2 linked regions of the Canis lupus familiaris genome follow. The protein of the gene in region 1 purifies or fractionates together with the protein of each later gene. This does not show direct contact. Links are inferred from orthologs where the notes say so. Each region holds a gene or a part of one and is shown on either strand. Other genes may lie near its edges.

Region 1 (6,360 bases):
AGGGCGCCTGCTCCTCCTTCTGCCTGTGTCTCTGCCTCTCTCTGTGTGTCTCTCATGAATAAATAAATAAAATCTTAAAAAAGAAAACAGTAGGGACATCATGCTCAAAGGGAATAGCAGATGTGGCCAGTGTAAGACAGAAGAAGGGCACCTAAGTGACTGGTGAGGGGTATCATAGAGTAATTTAATTTTTCAATAAAAATGCATTAATCAGAATGCCAAGAGTTCAAACTGGAAAGGTTCTGAATTGTAGCTTCTTTTTTTTAAGATTTTATTTATTTATTCATGAGTGACAGAGAGAGAGAGAGGCAGAGACACAGGCAGAGGGAGAAGGAGGCTCCATATGGAACTTGATCCCAGGACCTCAGGATCACACCCTAAGCAGAAAGAAGGTAGAAGCTCAATCACTGAGCCACCAAGGCATCCCTGAATTGTAGTTTGAAATGCATTCTAAAAACCACCTCTCGGGATCCCCGGGTGGCGCAGGGGTTTGGCGCCTGCCTTTGGCCCAGGGCGCGATCCTGGAGACCCGGGATCGAATCCCACATCGGGCTTCCGGTGCATGGAGCCTGCTTCTCCCTCTGCCTGTGTCTCTGCCTCTCTCTCTCTCTCTTTCTCTCTCTGTGACTATCATAAATAAATAAACATTTAAAAAAAAGAAAAAATAAAAAAAAATAAAAACCACCTCTCTTGGGATCCCTGGGTGGCGCAGTGGTTTGGTGCCTGCCTTTGGCCTGGGGCGCGATCCTGGAGACCCAGGATCAAATCCCACATCGGGCTCCTGGTGCATGGAGCCTGCTTATCCCTCTGCCTGTGTCTCTGCCTCTCTCTCTCTCTCTCTCTCTCTCTCTCTCTGACTATCATAAATAAATAAATAAAATTAAACAAAAAACCACCTCCCTCTAAATAAAATGCTCCATAGAGTTTTGTTTCGGCTGTTAATTCTCTCACCAGTAAAGGTAAGAGGACTCACTATCACTTTCAGAGAATATACTTCATCACCGAAACTCTACAGCAAGGTCATTTCTGTATCCAGCTGCATCACCGTTCTAATCAACTAATGAGAAACAGAGCCGCTTCTCATGATCACAGGTCAAGATTTCACCCAGGATCAGCAAAGCTGGATTCAAGACTGCTCTTCTTTCAACTCTCTCAGCGTGTGCTCACCACTTCAGATTCCTGGGAAGACTTACAAAATGCAAAGTATCATTAAATGAAGGACCTGATGTTCCTAGAGGAACCCTAGAATTGGGCCTTTCCATGGGCAGATCCGGAGAAGGTGGGAAAAGGCAGAAAAGGAAAGGGAGGAATACGCCTGCGTGTCTTCAGTGTGCTGGGCACTTCCCCATCCGCAGCAGTTGCAGTCTGCAACAGTATCCTCATTTTCCATAAACACTGTTGTGATTACTTAGATATATGATATGTGATTACATTCCCAGCTACTGTTCTGAACCCAAGAGAGTGCACTCAAGCTGGCAAGTAGGTTTTTAAGGACTTGTCTGGCAAATGCTTACCCACTGCAGGGATTAAGGGGCTCACTAAGCACTTGTCCATTGACACAATGGCTGTCAATCAAATTCTATTGATTCCTCTAAAAGCTTCTGGAGTTCAGGAGCTACTCAATCCAAGAGCACTTTACTTTGCGTCCAAGGAGCTAAATGCCAACCTGGTTCACACAGCCTCTTAACCTTCCTGGTACAACCTCTTTATTTGGCTTATGGCTAAAATACTTTTCCCACCCCCAGCCGAGTCCTCTGGACTCTCCTCCGCCAATTTCGGGTAAGATTTGCGTTAGTTTTTGCAAACCAGAGTCTGGGGCACGCTGACAGTGTCCCAACTCTGCTGTTCCCTCAATTTCCTCTGGCTTCACCGGGGAAGCTCCAGAGCAGTGCCAGGTCTAGAGTGAAAAGAATGAGGGGCACCAAAGAGGTGCCAAACAACTCAGTCATCAAAGCAGACCATTTTTAGTGCACCATTTTTAAAAAGTCAAAAAGTATGGCAAAACTCCATGATGAGCAAATTCTCAAAATTTAAAATACAGGATCGCACCCTGCACTGGCAGGACCCTGCCTCTACGGCCTCACCCTACTCCCAACCCTGGGGCTCCAATTCAACTTAATTAACAGAAACAGGCGACAGGCGTAGTCTGCCCACATCCTTTTTAGAGACACTGCATTAAATATTATTTCTGTTAGTTGCCGAGATTTTGTCGGCGTCCCCTTAAATACTGCAGAGGTCTCTAGGCGGGCACGCCAGGACCTCACCCGCCCTCCCCACTCACAGGGCTCTCCCGGAGCCCAGCTGCCGGGCCCGGGTATCCCCTGGGGCCGCCGGTCCCGGGGCCAGGTCAGGTGCCACGGCAGGCGGCGGGCGCGGAGGGCGGCCCCGGCCCGACTCACGGCTCCGCCCCCCGCGCGCCGAGCCACTCAGCCACCCGCCGGCCCGCGCGCTGGGGCTCGGCGCCCGCCCCGGCCCGCCCCGGCCCGCCCCCGACGCCGGCCGCCCGGGCGCCGGCTCGCCCTATATAAATCGGCCATTTGTGTCGCTCCGCCCCAGAGTCCCGGAGTCCCAGCCGGTTCCTACCGCAGTCCCGCAGGCGCCCGGCTCGTTCCTTTCAATATGACAGATGCCGCTGTGTCCTTCGCCAAGGACTTCCTGGCGGGTGGAGTGGCCGCTGCCATCTCCAAGACGGCGGTCGCGCCCATCGAGCGGGTCAAGCTGCTGCTGCAGGTACGTCCCGGGACTGGAGAGTCCGACCCAGGAAGTGGGGGAGGGGGCGCGCGGAAAGCCTCTGTTCCGGGGCTGGAGGGGGGCCAACTCTTCGGCCTGACGGGCGGCAAGCGGCCCGGTGCGGGCAGGGGTGGCGGAGGAGGCGGGCCGAAAGGCCAAGTCGAGGGAGGCGCTTTAGTGACCCGAACTTCTGGAGCTACGACGCGGTCGGGGCGCAGGGAGGCGAGGGGGCCCAGGGCCTTGGCATCCCGGGGACCGCGAGCTGGGAGGGGGCGGCCCGGCAGTGGCCGTCTTCCCGGGGCGCGGAGGGCAAGGGCGAAGCCTGGAAGCAGGTGCTGGAGGGAGGGACGCCCGGCCGTGCGGAAGGCCTCAAGGTCGCGGCAAGGGGATAACGGGCTCGCGGAGGCCATGCGGCAGGTCGAGGGGCCGCGCTGCCGGCGGCCGCGCTCTCCCCACGCGGGGCCGGAAGCCGGCGCCGGGAAGCGCGTGTGCCTGCTGCGTCCGCCCCCGCGCAGCCGCCGGCGCGTCCCCGCCGCCCGCCTCCCTGCGTCGCGCTCTCGCCCGCTCCGGCTCTAGAGGGCGCGCCCGCACGGGCGCAGGGGTGGTGGCCCGCGGGTCACCTCTAGGAGAGAGCAGGGGCGGAGCCGGAGGGAAGCAGCTCCCGGGACCCGAGGCCTAGGACACGGTCACCTCGGTGGCCGCGCCCTACGTGGGACAGGCCCAGGTGCCTCTGAACCTGGTCCTGAGGTAATGACCTTTCTCCCAGGTCTAAAGGTCACGGGTCCGCCCCAGCGTGCCCCCTCCCCACCCGAAGGGGCGGAGGCTTAATGCCTTCTAAGGGTGCTGAGCACTTCCTCGGTGATGGCCTCAGAGGGTTAGGATCTAGAAGATTAGATTCGGGAAGTAGCAAACCTTAAAGCGCGGTCAGCGAGACAGGATAATACTCTTCCTTTTTCCCCTTCTCCGTGGTTGTAAATCTCCCTGTTGGCCTCCTTCTTGTCTCTCAGGTGCAGCACGCCAGCAAGCAAATCACTGCAGATAAGCAATACAAGGGCATTATAGACTGCGTGGTTCGTATTCCCAAGGAGCAGGGAGTCCTGTCCTTCTGGCGTGGTAACCTGGCCAATGTCATCAGATACTTCCCCACCCAGGCTCTCAACTTCGCCTTCAAAGATAAATACAAGCAGATTTTCCTGGGTGGTGTGGACAAGAGAACCCAGTTTTGGCGCTACTTTGCAGGGAACCTGGCGTCAGGTGGCGCCGCTGGGGCCACATCCTTGTGTTTTGTGTATCCTCTCGATTTTGCCCGAACCCGTCTAGCAGCTGATGTGGGCAAAGCTGGAGCTGAAAGAGAATTCAGAGGGCTCGGTGACTGCCTGGTTAAGATCTACAAGTCTGATGGGATTAGGGGCCTGTACCAAGGCTTTAACGTATCTGTGCAGGGTATTATCATCTACCGAGCTGCCTACTTCGGTATCTATGACACTGCAAAGGGTAAGCTTGCCATGTGCTTCGAAGCTGTGTTTCTTTCATCTAAAAGATCATTAATACCATTCTCATTTTCCAGAGTCACAGATTTTCTGTAATTGCTGTAGGAAGTCATGGTCACCTAGTGCAAACTTAGTGTACAGATGAGATGTGGGGATGGGGATGGGGTGTAGAAATCAACAAGCCACTGAAACTCTGCTTTCTAGTAAAAGCATCTTCTTTCCTGTCCTCAGGAATGCTTCCAGATCCCAAGAATACTCACATTTTCATCAGCTGGATGATCGCACAATCCGTCACAGCAGTGGCTGGGTTGACTTCCTACCCATTTGACACTGTTCGTCGCCGGATGATGATGCAGTCAGGGCGCAAAGGAAGTAAGTTCCACTTGAGCAAAAAGATAAAGATGCGGCCCTTGACAGGCTGTGGCCACAAGCTAGTGATGCCTGACTTTAAAAATGCAGTCTGTTCTAATGGCCAGAATGGGGTTGATTGTGTCCGCCCCTCTGTGGGCCCTTTGGATGCCTATGAATGAGGGTGCTTAAATGATAATAGAGGTTAAAACCAATAAGTAGTCTACATACATAGCCCCATTGTTCTCTATTCACTCCATTAATATTTCAGGATCGCCCACATGAAATGTGCAAAATGTTGGGTTTCCTAGAACTACCATTCATTCTTGGAGGCGGGGCTCCAGTTTAGTAAATCCTGGGACTCTCCTCAGCCTTTGGTCACCAACTCCGTGTCTTTATTCTTTGCAGCTGACATCATGTACACAGGCACGCTCGACTGCTGGAGGAAGATTGCCCGTGATGAAGGAGGCAAAGCTTTTTTCAAGGGGGCATGGTCCAATGTTCTCAGAGGCATGGGTGGTGCTTTTGTGCTTGTATTGTATGATGAAATCAAGAAGTTCACATAAGTTATTTCCTAGTTTTTCCCCCTGTGAACAGGCATGTTGTATTATATAACATATCTTGAGCATTCTTGACAGACTGCTGGCTGTCTGTTTATCAATGGCAACTATTTACTGGTTGAAAATGGGAAGCAATAATATTCATCTGACCAGTTTTCTCTTAAAGCCATTTCCATGATGATGGGACTCAATTATATTTTTTATTTCAGTCACTCCTGATAAATAAATTTGAAGAAATAAAAAATATCTGAAGTATATTTTGTTTCTGACTTAATTTACATATTCAAGCGAGTGCTACATTTGAGTAAATGTTACATGTTTAATAAATGCTATAGTACCTCCTGAGGTAGAGAGCTTTCTTTTCAAACCAGTCTCTTAGCCCTTCACTTCTCAAAGAATACCTTGCTTGTGTGACCCATCAATATTCCAATACAATAGCAAGAGGAGGGACACCTGGGTGGCTCAGTAGTTGAGCATCTGCCTTTGGCTCAGGTGGTGATCCTGGGGTCCTGAGATTGAGTCCCACATCAGGCTCCCTGCATGGAACCTGCTTCTTCCTCTGCCTATGTCTCTGCCTCTCTCTCTCTCTGTCTCTTGAATAAATAAAATTTTTTTAATAAATATTTTCTTACAAAAAATAGCAAAAGGAAATTCTGGCCCAGTGTATCCAAAACCACAAGTCCATTGCCTGTGGAGGATCATAACTGAGCTTTCTCCAAAAAGGACTATGTACCCACCTTTCCAGGTCCTGTGATTATTAATCAGGAAATGTAAACTAAATTGTTTACTTTAAAATGATGGTTGTATGGATTTTATCTAAAGAGGAAAAAATAATAAAATATAAGGTAATAATAGCAACATTTCATCCAATTGCCTTCCCTCATTCATTTTTTACCTGGCCCATTCCATTTTAATCCCATTCAAAGTAGAGGATTAGAGCTGGCACTGTTTTGCAGTGCTGGCCAAGATTACAGAGGGAGCGAGACAACTGCCACCACCTCAAAACTCATTCCATAAAGAAGAGGAAATGTAGCCACTGCTGTGTTTTGTCAGACATGCTAATAAGCCTGGTCAGTGGAGGACATTTATTTCTTTTGGATAAGCCCTTACCCGGGATCCACATGAGAAGTGGTTTACAGTTTCTGTAGCTCCTGGCGAGGCCCCAGAAATTCAGTGGATTTCGCCTGTAACCTGAGGTTTGAAGAACAAAGCCATGGCTGTCAAGAAGTAAC
Region 2 (5,658 bases), on another chromosome or scaffold:
TTTTAAAACAAACTTTTAAGGATATACATAAATTTGCACAAAAATAATCATATTTCCTATGATTTCTAATTCTTCTTTTAGGGTTTCTTACCAATCCTATTTTTCTCTAGAAAATCTGATAAAGCGTTAAAGGTTCAGTTAACACCTATGCACTTGGAATGTTACAAATTCATTCCTAGGTTCACTCATTAGAAATTAGAATTCAGAACTTCCTTAGACTGACATCTGTCTAAGAAATCATCTACTCTCTACTTTTACCACATATGTGGGGGCACTTGTTACATGGTTAACAAATTGCTAAATTATTTTTATGTATCATCCTATTATATTTTTTATGCAAGTATAATTAACATACCGTGTTATATTAGGTTCATGTGTACAATATACTGATATACAATATACATTTCTCAGTACTCATCATGATAAATGTACTCTTAATCCCACTCACTGATTTCATGTGTCTTTCAACCTACCTCCCTTCTAGTAATCAATAGTTTGTTCTCTGTATTTAAGGGTCTGGGTTTTTTATGTCTTCCTTTTTCTGGTTGTTGTTTGTTTGTTCTGTGTTTTAAGTTCTAAAGAGTGAAATCATATGGCATTTGTCTTTGTCTGAGACTTACTGCACTTAGTGTTATACCCTCTAGGTCCATCCATGTTGTTGGAAATGGCAAGATAGCATTCTTTTTATGGCTGAGTAATATTCCAGTGTGTATGTATGTATATATTATATATATAGTGCATATATGTATGTATCTATGTATGTGTATCCCACGTGTGTATGTATGCACACATATATGTATACACACACACATATATATACACATACTACATCTTCTTTATACAGTCTCCTATCAATGGACACTTGGGTTGTTCAACAACACTAATCATCAGGGAAATGTAAATCAAAACCACAATGAGATATCGTCTTTCACCTGTCAGAATGACTACAATGGAAAACAAGAAATAACAAGTGTTGGCAGGGATTAAAATAAAAAGAACCCTCACATGCTGTTGGTGGGAATACAAATTGGTGCAGACACTGTGGGAAACAGTGTGGAGGTTCTTTGAAAAATTAAAAATAGAAATACCATGTGATTCTGCTTATTCCATGACTATTTGCCCAAACAAAAAGAAAGCACTAATTCAAAAAGACATATATGCACCCCCTATGTTTACTGCAGCATTATTTACAATAGCCAAATTCTGGAAGCATGTATCATCTATTTTAATCCTCATAACAATTCTATGAGGTAGGTTCTAGTATTCTTATTTCATAGTTGAGGTTATGTTGCCCAGTAGGCCATTGAACATTGAAAGGATCACTTAAAAAATTTGAAAGTTTTACATCAATACTACCTTCTTCTGCTTTCTTCATCAAGTCGTCAAGTAAGATTTTTTGATGCTCTTCACCATCATTAAAACTATATAATGCCCATTTCTTCAACAGAGTTTCTCCTTCACCACAAATATCAATCTCCAGCAATCCAGGAAACCATTCTTCCATCAGAGAATCAATGTGATCCACAACTTGGCCCAAAAGAATACAGCCTACATGATCCAAAGAAGAGCTCATCAACACCCTATCTGAACCTTATTCTGTTGCAAAGCTAGAAAGAGGGACTACAAAGTTTGAAAAAAAAATGTTTATATTTCTTTAGTGGTACAATTCAAAGTTTTGAATTAATTTCCTTACCTTTTCTACAAGAAGGAACTGTAATTTTTAAGAAACTCTCTGGGTGATTGTCTAAGACTTCAGATCCTACCAGACAATAAGCTTCAGGAGACCAATTCAAGTAGATGCCTTGTCGCCAATACATTCTGTTTGGGCGAAGTGCTCGTTCTGAAAGAAGTTTAAATGGACCCAAATGTATCCATTAATTATGAACTTCATAAATTAAAAGAGCAGAAAAATCACTGCAAATGCCACAAGTAAGTAATAGAGATACATATGTTTTGAAACAAAGTATTGGAATTGTTAATGACACAACTACTCATTCATATCTATTGTGCATGAAATTAAGTATTTTAACCTCAATTTTGCAAGGCAATAAAATAAAATGCCCAGTAGGTAACCTAAAAGATAGTTCAGATTCATGATGTTAAAATAGTTTGATATGCTTAATAGAATAAAAAGAATCATAAATAAGTAATCATAACTTCCATTTTTTTTCTAAGAGAGAGTGTGCATGAGTGAAAGGTGGGAAAGGGCAGAGGGAGAAGGAGAGAGAGAATCTTAAGCAGGTTCAATACTGGGCTGGGCTTGATCTCACAAACCTGAAATCATGACTTGAGCTGAAATAGAGCCAGTTGCTTAACCAATTGAACCACTGGCACCCCAAATTCTCATAACTTTTAAAACTCTTAAAAGGAGGTTGGTTGTCACACTAAAATAAAAACTTCTGGAATGATTTATTTTAATGTGATGTAACTACCTACATATTGATTAATTGCAAGCAAAATAAGGTTTATTTCAAAATACAGTAACACATGCATAAAGCTGATTTTTAACTCCCCCCCTGCCCCGCCCCCCAAAATGATATTTTTCCTTTGGAGCACTAGTTCTCCCTTTCTTCAAGAAGGAGGAGCTAGCAATATAAAGACCCATTTTTTCTAAAGATTTTATTTATTTATTCATGAGAGACAGAGAGAGAGAGAGGCAGAGACAGGCAGAGGGAGAAGCAGGCTCCATGCAGGGAGCCCGACGCGGGACTTGATCCCAGGTCTCCAGGATCAGGTCCTGGGCCGAAGGCGGCGCTAAACTGCTTAGCCACCAGGGCTGCCCTAAAGACCCATTTTTAATCAAAAAGATTATAAAAAATATAAAAAATATAAATATAAATATAAATAAATATAAATATAAATATAAATAAATATAAATATAAATATATATAATATATATAATATAAATATAAATATAAATATAAATCCCTCAGGAATTGCACAGCAAGAGAGCTTTTAAGTCTTTACAGTGAATGGTCTGAATGGTCAGAACCTGTTACTTTTGTTAACTAAGACTCTCTGGCTTTGCAGTGATAGTCACTTGTAATTTTTCTTTGTTCATTTGTGTGTGTCGGTTTACACGTGTGCATGTGTTTAACACCAGTGAATCCTAGTAATCTTACCTTCTAAAACTGTTGCTTCTAGTCTACTCTAGCTTGGAAAGCAAGATATTCATACTTATTATAAATGTGTCTAAAATAAAAACAAATACGCTTTGAGTGAGGACTTAAGAAATTTCCTTCTTGACAAACTGCATGAACTTAAATGAGCCTATGTGTCCTTATCCTGGCTACTCTGAAGTCCTATAAGCTTATTTTCTGATTTTCAGTGGCCTTACAAATACATGAACTCTGTGAAAATGACATGTCAATTTTAATATGCTTCCCCCCTAACTTCTCAAATATTGACTTCATTAAATACATACCTCTTCCTGAAAGCATGTAAGGTGAAATTTCAAGTAATCGATTGATTAACCTCGACCAAAATCCCATTGGAAAATAAGGCATTTCGTATAGTCGAATGATAATTTCAGAGTTCTCACAATGGGGAAGCTCTATCACAGGCCTGTGATCAGACAAACTAAAGAGAAAAGGGTATCAGCATTACATAGCTACATAAAAATTTACCCAACCATGTTAACCAGAGTGCTTTACTACTTAAAATCAATGAGTCGAAGATAAATATTGTAGGCAATTGCACGTTTTTATAATGTTCTTTTGCTACATGACCTTCCTTCTTCAAAAATTCAATGGCTATTTAGTCAATTCAAATACATGCTCAGATGCATTTTTTTTCAGTAATCCCATTTATACTAATAAATAAATTATTACAATTAGTTATGCATAGACAGGTTTTAAGGGATTATATAAAACTCGAAAAAATGTCATGTCCTAGAAAAAAGTGTACATGTATTTTTAGAATTGAATAGCATCTACCAATCAATGCAATTTGCACTTTTCAATGTCATATACCTTATAACATTTCCCAGCAATAAGAAACTATAAAGCAACAAGAAAAATTTCTATAATACAGAGCTAGAACTTAGGCCTTCATTGTGTTGCCACTCTCTGAAAATTCACTGCCATAAAGTCATCTGATGAGGGACGTCTGGATGGCTCAGTGTTGGGCATCTGCCTTTGGCTCAGGGTATGGTCCCAGAGTCCCAGGATTGAATCCCCTGAGGAGCTTGCTTCTCCCTCTGCCTATGTCTCCGCCTCTCTCTCTGTGTGTCTCTCATGAATGAATGAATGAATGAATGAATAAATAAATAAATAAATAAATAAATCCTTTAAAAAATAAATTCTGATGAAAACGCACTATCCTCCAGAACCTAATATAACTCCCTCAGTACCATTTAAAGACACACACACACACACACACATATCACTATTTTCCTTTCTTAAGTAATTCAAGTAGTGGTAAACCAAACAGTAATTACATACATAAAACAAATCATTTACTATACCTTTGAAGTGTCAAATGTAGTGTTTTCATTAAAAATAAATGTTACATTTCAGTAGAGAGTGTACACAAGAAGCAAAAAAATTAATACATTTATCATAAACCAAAGTTATTTTGACAATTAAAACATATAATAGATGGTGAATTTCCAGTTTAGGTTTACCTGCTTGGAACCAGCAAATATTCTTCTCCTATTGGCAAGGCAATCTGGAATTTTTCTAGCAGTTTAAAATACTGTGACATGTAGTTCTTTGGAAATCTCTTTTTCTTTGAAAGAAATTTTTCCACATCTCTACGTGAAATGATTCCCTTAGGATGTTTTGGATAGCCTTCCACTTTCACTGTCAAAATCTGAAAGATTTAAACTCGTAAATAATCACTAGAATTCATTCTCTGAAAAGTGTTTAATTTAAAGCATTTTGTGTCTCTTTGCTATTGATATGATCAAAACAATTTAATGTTGTCAAGTGTAACAGGGCACCTGATTTCTCTACTAGAAGCCCTGTAACCAGAAGCCCAGTAGGGCAACCATTCCTCCACAAAAAAAAAAAAAAATTAAGAGAGTGAATGCAAATCAAATATTATAGAGATCCTCTGCAATCAATGAATGTTAAACCTTCCCCAGCTCCAATTAACAAATCAATCCAACACCCTTCATCCTTATTATAGCCTCATCAACAATATATTTATTGGGAAATTATCCTCTAGACTATGTTCTCATTACAGGTTTGCCACAGGTTTGCCTTAGAAATGTTACTTGAGCATAAAGGAAAACGGTTTCCATCAATAGGAAGAGAGGCAGTATGTGGTACAGGTTAGTGATTCTTACACAAAGTAACTACAGAATTTCGCTGGACTCCAGATGGAGCCTGGATCAGTAGGTCTGAGATGAAGCTTGAGAATGTGCTTGTTTAACAAGAAACTCCGATGATTCTACTATAGAGACCATACTTTCAGCTTTGACCATCATCACAGAAGTTAAAAGTATTAACTTCAGAAGAACCCAGGTTCAAATCCATGTTCTAGTACTAGCTGCGTTATCTTGAGAAAGGTATATAATTTCCTTAAGCCACAGTTTCAATCAGATCAGATAATAAAAGTGACTCACCCTTAGACTGTCATGACATTGAAATAAGATAACATACAAAAGGCATGCAAAGTGCATATGACAATTTTTAGCTTATAGTAAGCCCTCAT

The links. The genes of interacting proteins can lie anywhere in the genome.
Region 2: the proteins of SLC25A5 (region 1) and LRRK2 purify together in Homo sapiens (co-immunoprecipitation; 3 studies listed by IntAct, with this or other methods). This does not show direct contact. The link is inferred for Canis lupus familiaris from reciprocal best matches to the Homo sapiens genes SLC25A5 and LRRK2.

The regions. Positions count from the first base shown.
Region 1 is NC_049260.1:92,201,025-92,207,384, forward strand, and holds SLC25A5 (ADP/ATP translocase 2), read left to right. Parts: upstream 1-2,531; 5' UTR 2,532-2,619; coding exon 2,620-2,730; intron 2,731-3,737; coding exon 3,738-4,224; intron 4,225-4,451; coding exon 4,452-4,592; intron 4,593-4,976; coding exon 4,977-5,134; 3' UTR 5,135-5,385; downstream 5,386-6,360.
Region 2 is NC_049248.1:33,248,884-33,254,541, reverse strand, and holds part of LRRK2 (leucine-rich repeat serine/threonine-protein kinase 2), read right to left. Parts: intron 4,813-5,658; coding exon 4,625-4,812; intron 3,580-4,624; coding exon 3,425-3,579; intron 1,841-3,424; coding exon 1,694-1,840; intron 1,549-1,693; coding exon 1,357-1,548; intron 1-1,356. UniProt on the Homo sapiens protein: Serine/threonine-protein kinase which phosphorylates a broad range of proteins involved in multiple processes such as neuronal plasticity, innate immunity, autophagy, and vesicle trafficking.